Caenorhabditis elegans: one gene and its partner. The protein of the gene in region 1 binds, or shares a complex with, the protein of each later gene. Each region holds a gene or a part of one and is shown in the gene's direction. Other genes may lie near its edges. The genes, in order: leo-1 and pafo-1.

Region 1 (6,190 bases):
CGACAGAAGGAACAATTGTCAAAGTTCGAGGAGCTCATTCAACAGGAAGAAACCAAAAAGCAAGGTCTGAAACAGTTTTTTGATCACGAGAAGAAGAGTGGAATTCCTAGTAGAATAAAAATGGCTCACGAGAGGCTTGTTTCTGAGTTGGACGATGACGAGGAAGCTTGGATTGCATATGGAGCATGGGCAGATATTGAACTTAAATTGCCACAGGTAAGGAAATACTTTTTATTATAGAATTATCGGAAATATCCAGAGGTCTGTCTAGAGATTATAATTATCTTTAAGATTCGAAAAAAATATTGTTGAATATTATTATTTTACTAAAGCTTCCATTGGATTATTGAATTATTTTGTTCAGGTTGCTGTAAAAGTGTACTCTCGAGCTCTGCGTCATTGTCCATACAGTTTTGTTCTCCATCAACAAGCTCTTCTCGCCTTCGAACGAGATCGTCGGCCAAATGAGGAAATTGATGCATTATGGGAACGAGCAAGAAGCAATGTTATCAAGTTAGTTTCTTTTTTGAATACATACAGTAGTCTTATATATTTATTCGGTGTAATTTCAGTTCTGCCGAAGAAGGACGGAGTCTTTACCGTACCTATGCTTTTTTGCTTCGCCGTCGAATTCATCTCACTGGTTCTTCGGATTACTCTCCAATGGCTGAAGTGTTTGATGAAGGTGCAGCGCTACTCAGAGAATGGTTTTCAATGGCTTGGGATACTACAGCAGATTATCGACAAATGCAAGCATATTTCTATGCTTCATTAATGAAGAACATGGACAAATGTCGAAATATCTGGAATGATATTCTTGCATCAGGATTCGGAAGATTTGCCGGAAAATGGATTGAAGCTGTTCGTCTTGAGCGACAATTCGGTGATAAAGAAAATGCTCGAAAATATCTAAACAAAGCTCTCAATTCTGTATCGGATAACATCAACGAAATCTATATGTACTATGTTCAATTTGAAAGAGAAGAAGGAACATTGGCTGAGTTGGATTTGGTTCTTGAGAAAGTGAATTCACAGGTTGCTCATCGAGCCATTCGACCACAAAAGAAAGTTTCTGAGAAACCAGCTCCAGCTCCTAAATCAAAGCAAGATCATATTCAGAAGAGAACGTCGGGAGGTGAACCAATTGTAAAAAAAGTGAAAGGAGACGACGGAGGTAAATAATTTTTAAAAGTAAAGAAGTTAATTTGAATTAAATTTTAGGATTCAAAGCTCCACTTCCACCATCCAATGCGAAAAGTTCATCAGCTGTATCCTCTTCAAATGCTTCGTCGACACCAGCTCCAGGTTCCTTTGCAGTTCAGAAAGCAGCTCCAGGAACGGAAGATGCTCGCACAATTTTTGTTTCTAATCTCGATTTCACTACGACGGAAGACGAAATTCGACAAGCCATTGAAGGTGTTGCTTCAATTCGATTCGCAAGAAAAGCGAATTCGGATCTTGTGCACAGAGGGTTCGCCTATGTTGTAATGGAGAATGATCAGAAGGCACAGCAAGCTCTCTTGAAAGATCGAGTTCCTGTGAAGGGAAGGCCAATGTTTGTAAGTTTTAATTTTACTTTATAAATATTTGTGAAATTTTAATTTCTGAAAATTCAGATCTCCGCCAACGATCCAGAAAAACGGGTTGGATTCAAATTCTCAACCACTCTTGAAAAATCGAAAGTCTTCGTTCGCAATGTCCACTTCCAGGCAACCGACGATGAGTTAAAGGTAATATATACTTATCTATCATTTTATATTCTAAATCGATACATTTCAGGCATTATTCTCGAAATTCGGTACAGTAACCAGTGTTCGACGCGTGACTCATAAAGATGGAAAACCAAAAGGAATCGCATTCGTAGATTTTGACACAGAAGCAAGTGCTCAAAAATGTGTTGCTTCTGGTGATAAATTGATGCTTCGAGAAAGAGAACTAGAGGTAGCGTTATCCAATCCACCAGTAAAAAAGGATAAATCGCATGGAAAACCAGCAGCAATTGGAGCAAGTTTGGAAGAAGATGGACCTAGAAAAGGACATGCTGCAAAACTGCAATTGGTTCCCAGAGCTATTAGTAAGTATATCATCTTTAGTTCCCAGCTTAGCATAAAAAAATCCATTTTCAGCAAACAAAACTCCTCAAATCACTGCTCGGCTGGACGCAATGGATGTTTCCGAAGGCACTTCAACGTCTCAGCCACTTTCAAATGATCAATTCCGTAAAATGTTTATGAAAAATTAGGGCCGTTTTTCACCAGAAACTTTCATTGTTCATATCAAGATTCATTTAGTTATTTAATTTCTATTACGTTCCCCAGTGTCTCCTTTCCAATTAAAATTCCGGTAGATGCTATTTTTGATGTTCTCGCTATAATTATATTTGTTCTTCACTACGAATTGCAAGATTTAGTTTCATAACTGTTCATAATCCTTGTTTTCTTTTTGTTTGCTAATAATTTGTAATAGAGATCCCCCAATATTCATTTTCAACTTATTGCCTATGGATAAGAAAATCTGAATTTTCAACAACTACTTTTATTATTCAATTTTTATCGGTATATTCGACCCCAAATTATTACTTTGTTTTGCTACTTTCGCTATTCAAAGAACTTAGGTATGCAATATTTTCAATTCAGATGTCATCTTCTGAGGGTAATTCTGACGCTTCTGCACCAGGAACACCAGTTAAATCGTAAGTAAATGGTAATTGTGTTTCTAAAATAATATAATTCAATTCAGATCAACTCCATCTTCTCGTGGATCGTCGCCAGATTCACCAAAAAAACAAGAACCGTCTAAGAAAAGAGCGATATTAAATGAGTCCGACGATGATGATGATTCTCGTCCTGCTCCTCGACAATTGTCCGATTCTTCTGACGATAACATTCATCCGAGAGGAGGAGGTGAAAAGAGTTCCCCCGGTGCTGGTGGTGGTTTGTTCGGTGATCTCTCTGGCTCTTCCGACGATGATTCCGACAGAGAAGGAAAGCCGAAAGAATCAAATACAAGAGCACGATTGTCAGATTCCGATGCGGAGAGTCGTGGAAGTTTGAATGATTTGCAAGGAATTGTGATGGCTAATCCAGATGAAATAGATGAAGATGAAAAAGCAAAGGAGCATGTTCATGATACTGAAGTAAACATTTTCAATGAAATAATGTGATTAAAACATTGATTTTCCAGATGGTAACAGGTCGTGTTACTTTGGAGTACGCTGCAGATCCACCACATTTTGTCAGAATGCCAAACTTTCTATCAGTCGCCACTCATCCATTTGATCCACAACATTACGAGGAAGACGAAGATGATGAGCAGGCGAAATTGGATGATGAAGGACGAACACGTCTCAAATTGAGAGTATGTCTGTGTTATAAATACATCTCATCAAATATACAATTTTTAAGGTGGAAAATACACTTCGCTGGCGAGTTCGCAAAGATGAAAATGGAAAAGAAATTCGAGAGAGTAATGCAAAAATTGTAAAATGGGACGATGGAACGTTAGTTTTCAATTGATGCAAAATTTCCATATCGTGACTTAATTTCAGAATGTCTCTATACCTCGGAAACGAAATTTTCGAAGTCTCATTGGTGCCGCTGAATTCCAATAATCTTCCCCATCTTTACGTTAAGCAGCCAACATTAATGGTATTTTGATTGTTAATGTTTTTATTTTAATCAAAATTTATGTCATTTTTAGTCGGCTCAAGCTGTTCTTACACATCGTATGACCTTCCGTCCTCACTCGACTGATTCCCAAACTCACAGAAAAGTCACACTCAATATGGCAGATCGAAGCAGGAAGAATGCTCAAGTTAAAGTCATGGACGATGTTGGTCAGAATCCGGAAATTACACGGCGTGAGAATGCCCGGAAGGAGGAAGAATCACTTCGTGCACACATCCGACGTACTCAGATGGTTCGGAATAACTTTAAAGTTCGTGGTCCGAGATATGCAGGACAATATTCTGATGATGAAGATATGCCAACGTCATCCAGAAAAGGAAAGAAGAAGGAAGCACCAATTATTGGTAAGTTCAATTTAATTTTGATTAGGACTTTACCAGAATAAAGAAACTGTACTACAATAATATATTTCAGGTGCCAGCTCAGAAAGTGAGGACGATCATGCGGATACCACAAAGAAAAGCGGATCGGATAGCGATTCTGATGAAGAGTACCGAAAGAGAAAACAACAACAAAAGAAACAGATTGTCACCAGTGACGAAGAATCTGACTAAATTTATTTCAATTTTGATCCTCACAATTTTATATTTCGCGAATTCAATATTTCTCCCTTTACAATATTTCGAAAATGTTTTCCTTTCCTTATTTATTTTAGTCTTCGATATTTCGAGATAATGAAACATCCACAATATTATGAAAAACCGAGCTTTTATTTCTTAATTTCAATCAGATTGTATGTAATATTTAAAATCATACATCCACTACGTCTTCCTCGCTTCTCAAAGAATTGGCATCAAGTGTCGTATCATAAATTCTGAAACTTGAAATAATCTACGATTTCAGAATTCTCAAAATCAAACCTCCGTGTTTTATCGTTTTCCATTGCTCTTGGGGAAATCGATACATTTAATATCAACTGAGCTTCTTCTTGATTTCCAGAGCTTCTCGATCGCAGTAAAAACATCAATATAATGATTTGAAAGAAGATTCCATAAATTAAAATTCGAAAAACTATAGGTTTTGACTTTTGATTCCAGAGTATTTTAAACATCTTTGTGGAAAATGTAGGAAATGATTTTTCACGTTTGATAAAGAAACTGACTAATAAATTTTTACATCTAACAACAAATCTTTGAATCAATCATATTATAATATACACGGAACCACTATGTCCGAAAGATTTAAAATTTAAAAAAATTGAAATTGAAAAAAGTATTCATTGAATATTAAAATGGATTTGAGGATATTTGTGGCCCTAAAGAGGGCCGTTGGGTTCGGTTAAGTTTTGAGATTAAGCTTGCTCAACTACCAAAAAAGGTATTTAAGCGCGCTCTCCTCGGATGCGTCTGGCCAATTGGATATCCTTTGGCATGATGGTGACTCGCTTAGCGTGGATGGCACACAAGTTGGTGTCCTCGAAGAGTCCGACAAGGTAAGCCTCGGCAGCCTCCTGAAGAGCCATGACAGCGGAAGATTGGAATCGAAGATCGGTCTTGAAATCCTGAGCAATCTCACGAACAAGGCGCTGGAATGGTGCTCTGCGGATTAGAAGTTCGGTTGATTTCTGGTAACGTCTGATCTCACGAAGAGCGACGGTTCCTGGGCGATAACGATGTGGTTTCTTGACTCCTCCGGAAGCTGGAGCCGATTTGCGGGCAGCTTTGGTGGCCAATTGCTTTCTTGGAGCCTTTCCTCCGGTCGATTTACGGGCGGTTTGCTTGGTACGAGCCATTGCGTTTAGGTTGATAATCCGTGGGGACTGTAAAAAAGAGAAACCAACGACTGCCTTTGTACGCAGCTGCGGTGGGAGGGCGGGCGGGCGCACTTCTGTCCTTGTGGCAATTAGAACATTCGGTGTGTTACAGACAAAGGAAAGGTGTCCTCGCAGAGTGGTGCAATGTGACTCCGCCTAGCCACCACAGCTGTGTACAAAAGGAATACTGTGATGTCATTTCTTCATCTCACTTGTGAGTCTTCAACGAATTCAACAATGTCCGGACGTGGAAAGGGAGGAAAAGGCCTTGGAAAAGGTGGTGCCAAGCGCCATCGCAAAGTTCTCCGTGATAACATCCAAGGTATCACCAAGCCAGCCATTCGCCGTCTCGCCAGAAGAGGAGGAGTCAAGAGAATCTCCGGATTGATCTACGAGGAAACCCGTGGAGTCTTGAAGGTGTTCCTTGAGAACGTCATCCGTGATGCTGTCACCTACTGCGAGCACGCCAAGAGAAAGACCGTCACCGCCATGGACGTCGTCTACGCTCTGAAGCGCCAAGGAAGAACTCTGTACGGATTCGGAGGATAATTATTATCTTTTCTGTTTTCATACAAACCAAATACCGAACCCAACGGCCCTCTTTAGGGCCACAAATATCCAAAATCCTAATTGATCTCGTTAAATAAATCTTAAATAATTTTGATTTTTCTATTTTAGCATTTTCAAATACAAGTTGACATGATATTTTCTTTATTGCTTTGCACAACTACATACTTTTTTTAAATTTAAA
Region 2 (6,358 bases), on another chromosome or scaffold:
GTTTTCTTTTTTCGTTTTTTTTTGCAATTTTTTTTTGCTAAACGTTAGGTTTCATGCTCGTTTGTGTTTTTACAGCTATGTGTCGTGGAATAACTTTAACTGACTACGAAAAAGGACAAATTGTGCAAAATTATCTCAAGGCTTCTCGGATCGTCAGATTTTTCGTGATTTGAAACGTTCAAGAGATATGATCATTCGATATGCTTCAAATCCTGCCGCTTATTGCACCAAATTTTGAAATTTTTGCATCTTGATCTTTTAGGTCCCCATATCTGATTGTTTACTTCAATGTTAATTCTATTTCAATACTTTATCAGAAAGAAGTTTCTAAGAAGTTTGATACAACACATAAACAATACAGATTTAAATAAAACCAAGAAGAACACAGTGAAAGTAAATCAGTCGTACAACAATCATTAAATGGATAAAAAAGGGCTGAAAACTTTAATACGGAATAATTGAAAGATCTCTTCGGAAATATCCGCCATTGTGTGTTGCTCCTAGTTTGTTGAATGCCGCCAATATTTGTGAGGAAGATTCCTCAATCTGAAAAGGAACAATTATAACTATGAAATTCAAAAGCATGATCTTACAGTAAGTTGTCCTTTCCCTTTACTCATATCAGTTTGAACCATTCCTGGACAAATTCCAGCTGTTAAAATATGATCATCTTTTAGATCAATTGAGAGAGTTTTTGTAAACTGATTCACCGCACACTTCGTCATTCGATATGCCATTGCTTTATATTCACCAGAACCACTGGTATTTTCAGAAATTGAACCAAGAAATTCGGATGCAATATTAATGATTGCACCACGAGAAACGGAAAGTGTATCGCCTTCCTGTCGTTTCGAAGCTTTGATTATGAGTGGTACAAGGCTTTGTGTAAGCATCATTGGACCAATTGTATTTGACTCAAACAAATCCAGAACAACTTTTCGATCAGGTTTTTGTTTTGTTACATATGGAAGCATCACAGCTGCATTATTTATAAGAAGAGTTAATCCAGATTCTCCAACAATTTCAGACACTTTTTCAGCAAAATTTGCAATTGATTCATCGGATCCGAGTGAGAGTTGAAGAATGTGAAGTCGTGGATCACAAATTCCCTTGAGAGCCTGAAAAATTGGAAATTAAGAATGCCGTAGTCCAATACATGTTGTTGGGAAATTTTTACCATATACAAATATTAGGAACACAAACCTAATACAAATAACTATAATCTCAGCAACGGATAAAGTATAAATAAACTCGAAAAAACTTACAGTTGCCTTATCAACATCTCTTGCAGTCGCAATGACATGCTGAACATTTGGATCTTTCAGAAATTGTTGAACTAATCCAAATCCCAATCCTCGATTGGATCCGGTTACCACAACTGATTTTGGAGACATTTTCACTAGAATTTAAGCATAGAATTGAATTAACAGAAATCGAAAATCAATGAATGATGATTATTATTTCTTATCAATAGTATTTCTCTTCTGTTCTGCAAAATAAACAGCGTGATGAACTGCCACAATAATTAGTTTGGTTTATTGCAGTTTTTAGTTTATTTCGGAATTTCTGAGAAGAGATCAAAGAATTAGACAATGAAGAAAACTATGATAATTTCGATTTTGGTTAATACAGTTTTGCTCTTCAATCAAGTGTTGGTTGCGAACGGGGAAAATGTGAATGTAGGTTTACACAGGAGATGTTATAAAGGACTTTCCTTGGTTCTATTCCTGAGCTTTTCCAGTTGTCCCTGGGAAATTTTCTTTCAAATATTTTTAATGAAAGAGAAACGATAGACAAAAAAAGATAGACAAAAAACTAGGCGCAATTTGTTTTGCTATTGTTATGTTTTTGTAGGTTATGAGCAATTTCAAAATAAGATCTTTCTAGAAAATTGTAAAAATATTATTTCATTCAAGGTATCCTGCCCAATTTTATCCCGAACTCGACACAAAGAACTTCGAACTTTCATGTACAAAAACTGCACTTCCGGTTTCAAGACATGCTTTCAACAAATTATGCTCACTGAAATCGTTCGAAATGAGCAACACGCATTTCTATTTGCCTCTGGTTGTGCTTCGAAGGAAATTCTCAAGCCATTCAATCTAACCGAGGAAACATTCATGAAGTTATGTGACAAGAAAAAAGTGGGACGATGTGTTCATACATACCAGCATCGAGTTTATTATGGTACACTCTGCTGTGAAAGGAATTCGGAAAAAATGTTCGGATCTTGGCTGTGGGATGTTTTCTTTGGAAGTAGTGAAGAGCTAAATGCTGAAATGGAGAATACTGTTAGCTTTGTTCAGCGTGAAAGTATCGGAATGCACGATGATCATGATAATGTAGGCTTTAAAAGTTCACAACCCCACATTTATATAATTTTCCAGAAAGGAGCATTGGCTCTCTACATTGCTGGACCATTCATTGTCACCTTTATATTTACATTATTGTCCCTTTTACAATATTATCATGTTAATGATGGCATTTTGTCATAAAATAAATATTATCGTGACGAGAACGCTGGAAATTCACAAAACAAAAAATACTTTTTGAACACCCGCGCAAAACTGGTTATGCGCCATTGTTCCCTGCTGACGCGCATTGAGCGCTTGCGCAAAACCCGTGTGTGAGAGTTTGAATTTAATTCCCTCGGTGACTAGTTTTTTCGATTTGCAGCCGTTTCTGCCGATTGGTATCTTAATATTATAACTAAATTACTATAAAAAATGCCCCAAGAATCCTCAGATGCCAAAAGGATTGAACCTCCGTAAGTATTATTGTTTTGAATCGCTAGAAAAGTTTTGAAAACATTTTGCAGACGAAAAGTGGATTTCATGCTGAAACCTCGATTTACCAATACTGTTCCTGATGTCCCATTTGATGCAAAGTTTATGACTTGTCCATTTGTTCCTCTGGGAAGGTACACCAATTTTGAAACGTTTGACATTGTTCAATATCTCTGAATTTAGATTTGTCGAATTCCAACCTGCTGCCATTTATCGAGATTACAAGCATGCAGTCATTTGTGACGACGACATGGGTTTGAATGTCGATTTGATTGATCTAAAAAAATACGACGAAGATCCAATCGAAACTGTAGGTTTTTTCCTGAAATATACAGTTTCAAAGATAGAAATGTTTCACTTTTAGGAAATTGATGAGAAAGACAATATTTTACTGGAAGATGATGGCGCCGCTAAATTGATTGCAAAACGATCTCAACAGCATTCTAAACTTGTTCCATGGATGAGAAAAACCGAGTACATTTCAACTGAATTCAATCGGTTCGGTGTGACAGCCGATAGACAGGAGACGAAGCTTGGTTATAACTTGAAGAAAAATCAACAAGTTGAAGATATGTATCGTGACAAGCAGAGTCAAATTGATGCCATTAACAAGACATTTGAAGATGTAAGTACCAGAATATATTTTTTTGATTTAAATCTACTTTTGCGTATTTTAGGTTCGTAAACCCGTCAAGGAGCATTACTCCAAGAAGGGTGTAAAAGCTGTTGAAGAAAGCTTTGTCTTCCCTGATTTCGATCACTGGAAACACCTCTTTGCTCATGTACAATTTGATGGAGACACTATAACAACAGAATTCGAAGAAGAAGATGAACGACAACAAGCACGGGAGAGCAGTGTTATTAAAGCCATGGAATTCGAAGATCAAAAATTTGCAGCAGTTTTTGTTCCAACGATTGGATGTCTTACGAGTTTTATGGATGATCTTGAGTTAGAACGACCATTTGATGAGGATATGAAGTACGAATTCTTGCTAAGCCGTGAATACACATTTAAAATGGAACACTTGCCACCAAGGGATCGTGACGTCTTCATTATGTATCATCGTAATAACGTTTTCCAGTACAACGAAGTTGACTGTAATGTCAAGATGACAAGAAAACCAAAAATGGCATTGAGCAGAAAATCCAAATTGACACTCACATACCGAAATCCTTCCGAACTGGAACAAAAAGACATGAATAAAAGAGAGGCTGAGTTATACGAACAGCCAAAGACCAGAAAACAAGAGATTCTGGAAAAGATTCAAGAGAAGAAAGAAGAAGGTGGTGAGTAAATTTAAGTTTTGAAGTGTTATTTTCCACGCGAACATGCAATTTTTCAGGAGACAGTTCAGATCAGAGCAGTGATTCTGATGACGACAAGCCGCAGAAATCACGATCTGATAGCTCTTCGGACGTTTCATCAGATGACGATTCACCACGGAAAAAGGAACCGACTGTTGACAGCGACAGTGATTGATCTCAAATTTTTAAAATTGTTTTTCTATTTATTTTACCTAATCAAATTGGTTTTTCTCAGTAAACTTGATAACGATTTCAACTATTTGTTCGATTGATCTTCATGAATCTTCGCTAAAAGTGCAAGTATGATTTGACTCACAATTGAAGAAAAAACCAACAGCGGAAACACCAACACCCGCAAAGTTCTGTTTGTGTAGGTGTCTGTTGCTTGCGCTTATGTGCTCCACGTTCTATTCTTTGATTTGTCATGCGGAAGCAACAGGATCAGAGGGCAAGACGTTTAGTTTTGGGGGAAATTCGAACTACCGTTCTGATTGGAATGCGTATTGCGAAACATTGAATATATCCCGTAGCGAAAACTACAGTAATTCTTTAAATGACTACTGTAGCAATAGATTTTCGAAACTACAGTGCATTTTTTTTCCACTTCTACGACTTTAAAGGCGCGCGTATTTATACAAAATGGTCCCGTCATTGGTCTCGCCACGCGCTCAACAAATCAAAGGGATGCGCGTGGCGAGACCATTGCGCGAAAATGCGCGCGCCTTTAAAGTCGTAGAAGTTGTAAAAAAAGCACTGTATTCCAAAAGAAATTCATTTCAAAATTCCAGCCCGTAAATCGACACAAGCACTACAGTAGTCATTTCAAGAATTACTGTAGTTTTCGTGATACTTTGAGCGTCAAACATGTTACGCAATATGGATTCTCATAATTTTTTGTTCCCGGAATAAGAAAGTTTTCTGGGGACAGAAACACATTTAAAAAAGTACAATTATGGAACTATTGGAATGGAAATCCGTTCAATTTGTCAAAATATGAAAATAGTTTTCAATGCCACCGTTCACAGATCCTCATCATTATCATGATATTTTGGCATAACATTAATATTACCAGTTTCTGTTTCTTCCGCAACACGCCGCTTGTTGTAGCTTTCTCTCTCGGCTCTTTTTGTGTGTGCCTGTCTGTGGGTGGGGGTGGGTGTGTGTGTGTGCTTACAAAAACTTCAACAAAACTGCCTCGATGCTTCTACCAACACCCGCGCGAGAGGCTTCCCCCAGTTTCACTTGTTGAAAGAGAAAACCACGTGCGTGAAGAATGGGAACACTGTAGGTTTTTTATTAGATTGACATAAAATACAATCGTGGGCATATTGGCGTAGGAAATACGAAAATGATCAGAGAATCATGTCATAGAAGTCTTAGACTTGATATTGAAATTTTTTTTAAATCATTGAATTATCATAACAAGTCTACCAGAATATTTTCTTTCGCTGTGCACACTGTAATCTTCTAACGGACACTGGAAAAAGTTTCAGACTGTCAATTCTCGATAATCATTAGCACCTGTTTTCCAAACGACCTTTCAACGATCTTCAGCAGTGTGACTTTCTTTGGCGTTAAAAAATTATTATAAAAATTTAGAGCCAAGAATTCCAATTTGAAAATGTAATAGTGCGAATTTGAATTTTGCTTGAAAACAGTCTGAATGTCGAAAATGCCACAGAAGAGAGTTATAAAAATTGAGAAATGAAAAATCCAACTCTACTTTCAGGAAACTTTGTATACTTAAGTAGCACCTTAAATCATAAAAATTACAAAAATAGTATTGAATCACATTTAACAAGGTGCATAGATTATGACCAAGTCAATCGGGATATTTCGTAGATCCCGTCATAATTCAGTTGAAGGAAGCATAATTCGCGGGAAGATACTTCAAGACTTCCAAAAAATCTTATTCGAAATTACAATTCTCGAGAACAACACTTATCTTGGAACGTAGCCAGGAACAAAGTTTGACATGCTGATGATTGATACTGGACAGATTTTTTTGATTAATGAGATCTGAAAGTGAGAAGAAAGGAAAACAGTTTAACTAAATGAAAGGTCTTTTGTTTCGAAGTATAGTGTAACTCCACCAGTCTCTTCATTCTAAACAACACTATAAAAGGGTCTATTCGTCATTTCCAGCTTCTCTTTTGTGTTTTCTTCGTCTTTTTCAGCATCACTGGCCACTACTCTACCAACAATCTCCCTCATTATTGTTAACCTCGAGAATTAAAAGAGAGTAGTTGAAAGAAGCTAACCAGTCT

The links.
Region 2: leo-1 (region 1) and pafo-1 share a complex: the UniProt entries of both Caenorhabditis elegans proteins name them as parts of the PAF1 complex.

The regions. Positions count from the first base shown.
Region 1 is NC_003282.8:11,325,816-11,332,005, reverse strand, and holds leo-1 (RNA polymerase-associated protein LEO1), read left to right. Parts: upstream 1-2,636; coding exon 2,637-2,692; intron 2,693-2,739; coding exon 2,740-3,136; intron 3,137-3,183; coding exon 3,184-3,357; intron 3,358-3,404; coding exon 3,405-3,499; intron 3,500-3,547; coding exon 3,548-3,647; intron 3,648-3,699; coding exon 3,700-4,030; intron 4,031-4,100; coding exon 4,101-4,240; 3' UTR 4,241-4,385; downstream 4,386-6,190. Other genes in the region: sart-3 (Spliceosome associated factor 3, U4/U6 recycling protein), read left to right, coding at 1-216, 365-513, 573-1,174, 1,222-1,559, 1,617-1,730, 1,780-2,074, 2,127-2,242; B0035.21 (Kinesin motor domain-containing protein), read right to left, coding at 4,437-4,500, 4,547-4,650; his-45 (Histone H3), read right to left, coding at 5,008-5,418; his-46 (Histone H4), read left to right, coding at 5,677-5,988. UniProt on the Caenorhabditis elegans protein: Component of the PAF1 complex which is a multifunctional complex involved in transcription initiation via genetic interactions with TATA-binding proteins, elongation and transcription-coupled histone modification.
Region 2 is NC_003283.11:11,519,040-11,525,397, forward strand, and holds pafo-1 (RNA polymerase II-associated factor 1 homolog), read left to right. Parts: upstream 1-2,663; 5' UTR 2,664-2,726; coding exon 2,727-2,767; intron 2,768-2,818; coding exon 2,819-2,920; intron 2,921-2,969; coding exon 2,970-3,096; intron 3,097-3,150; coding exon 3,151-3,411; intron 3,412-3,463; coding exon 3,464-4,073; intron 4,074-4,129; coding exon 4,130-4,266; 3' UTR 4,267-4,345; downstream 4,346-6,358. Other genes in the region: C55A6.7 (DeHydrogenases, Short chain), read right to left, coding at 445-546, 594-1,118, 1,266-1,394; C55A6.11 (uncharacterized protein), read left to right, coding at 1,593-1,679, 1,917-2,342, 2,388-2,495. UniProt on the Caenorhabditis elegans protein: Component of the PAF1 complex which is a multifunctional complex involved in transcription initiation via genetic interactions with TATA-binding proteins, elongation and transcription-coupled histone modification.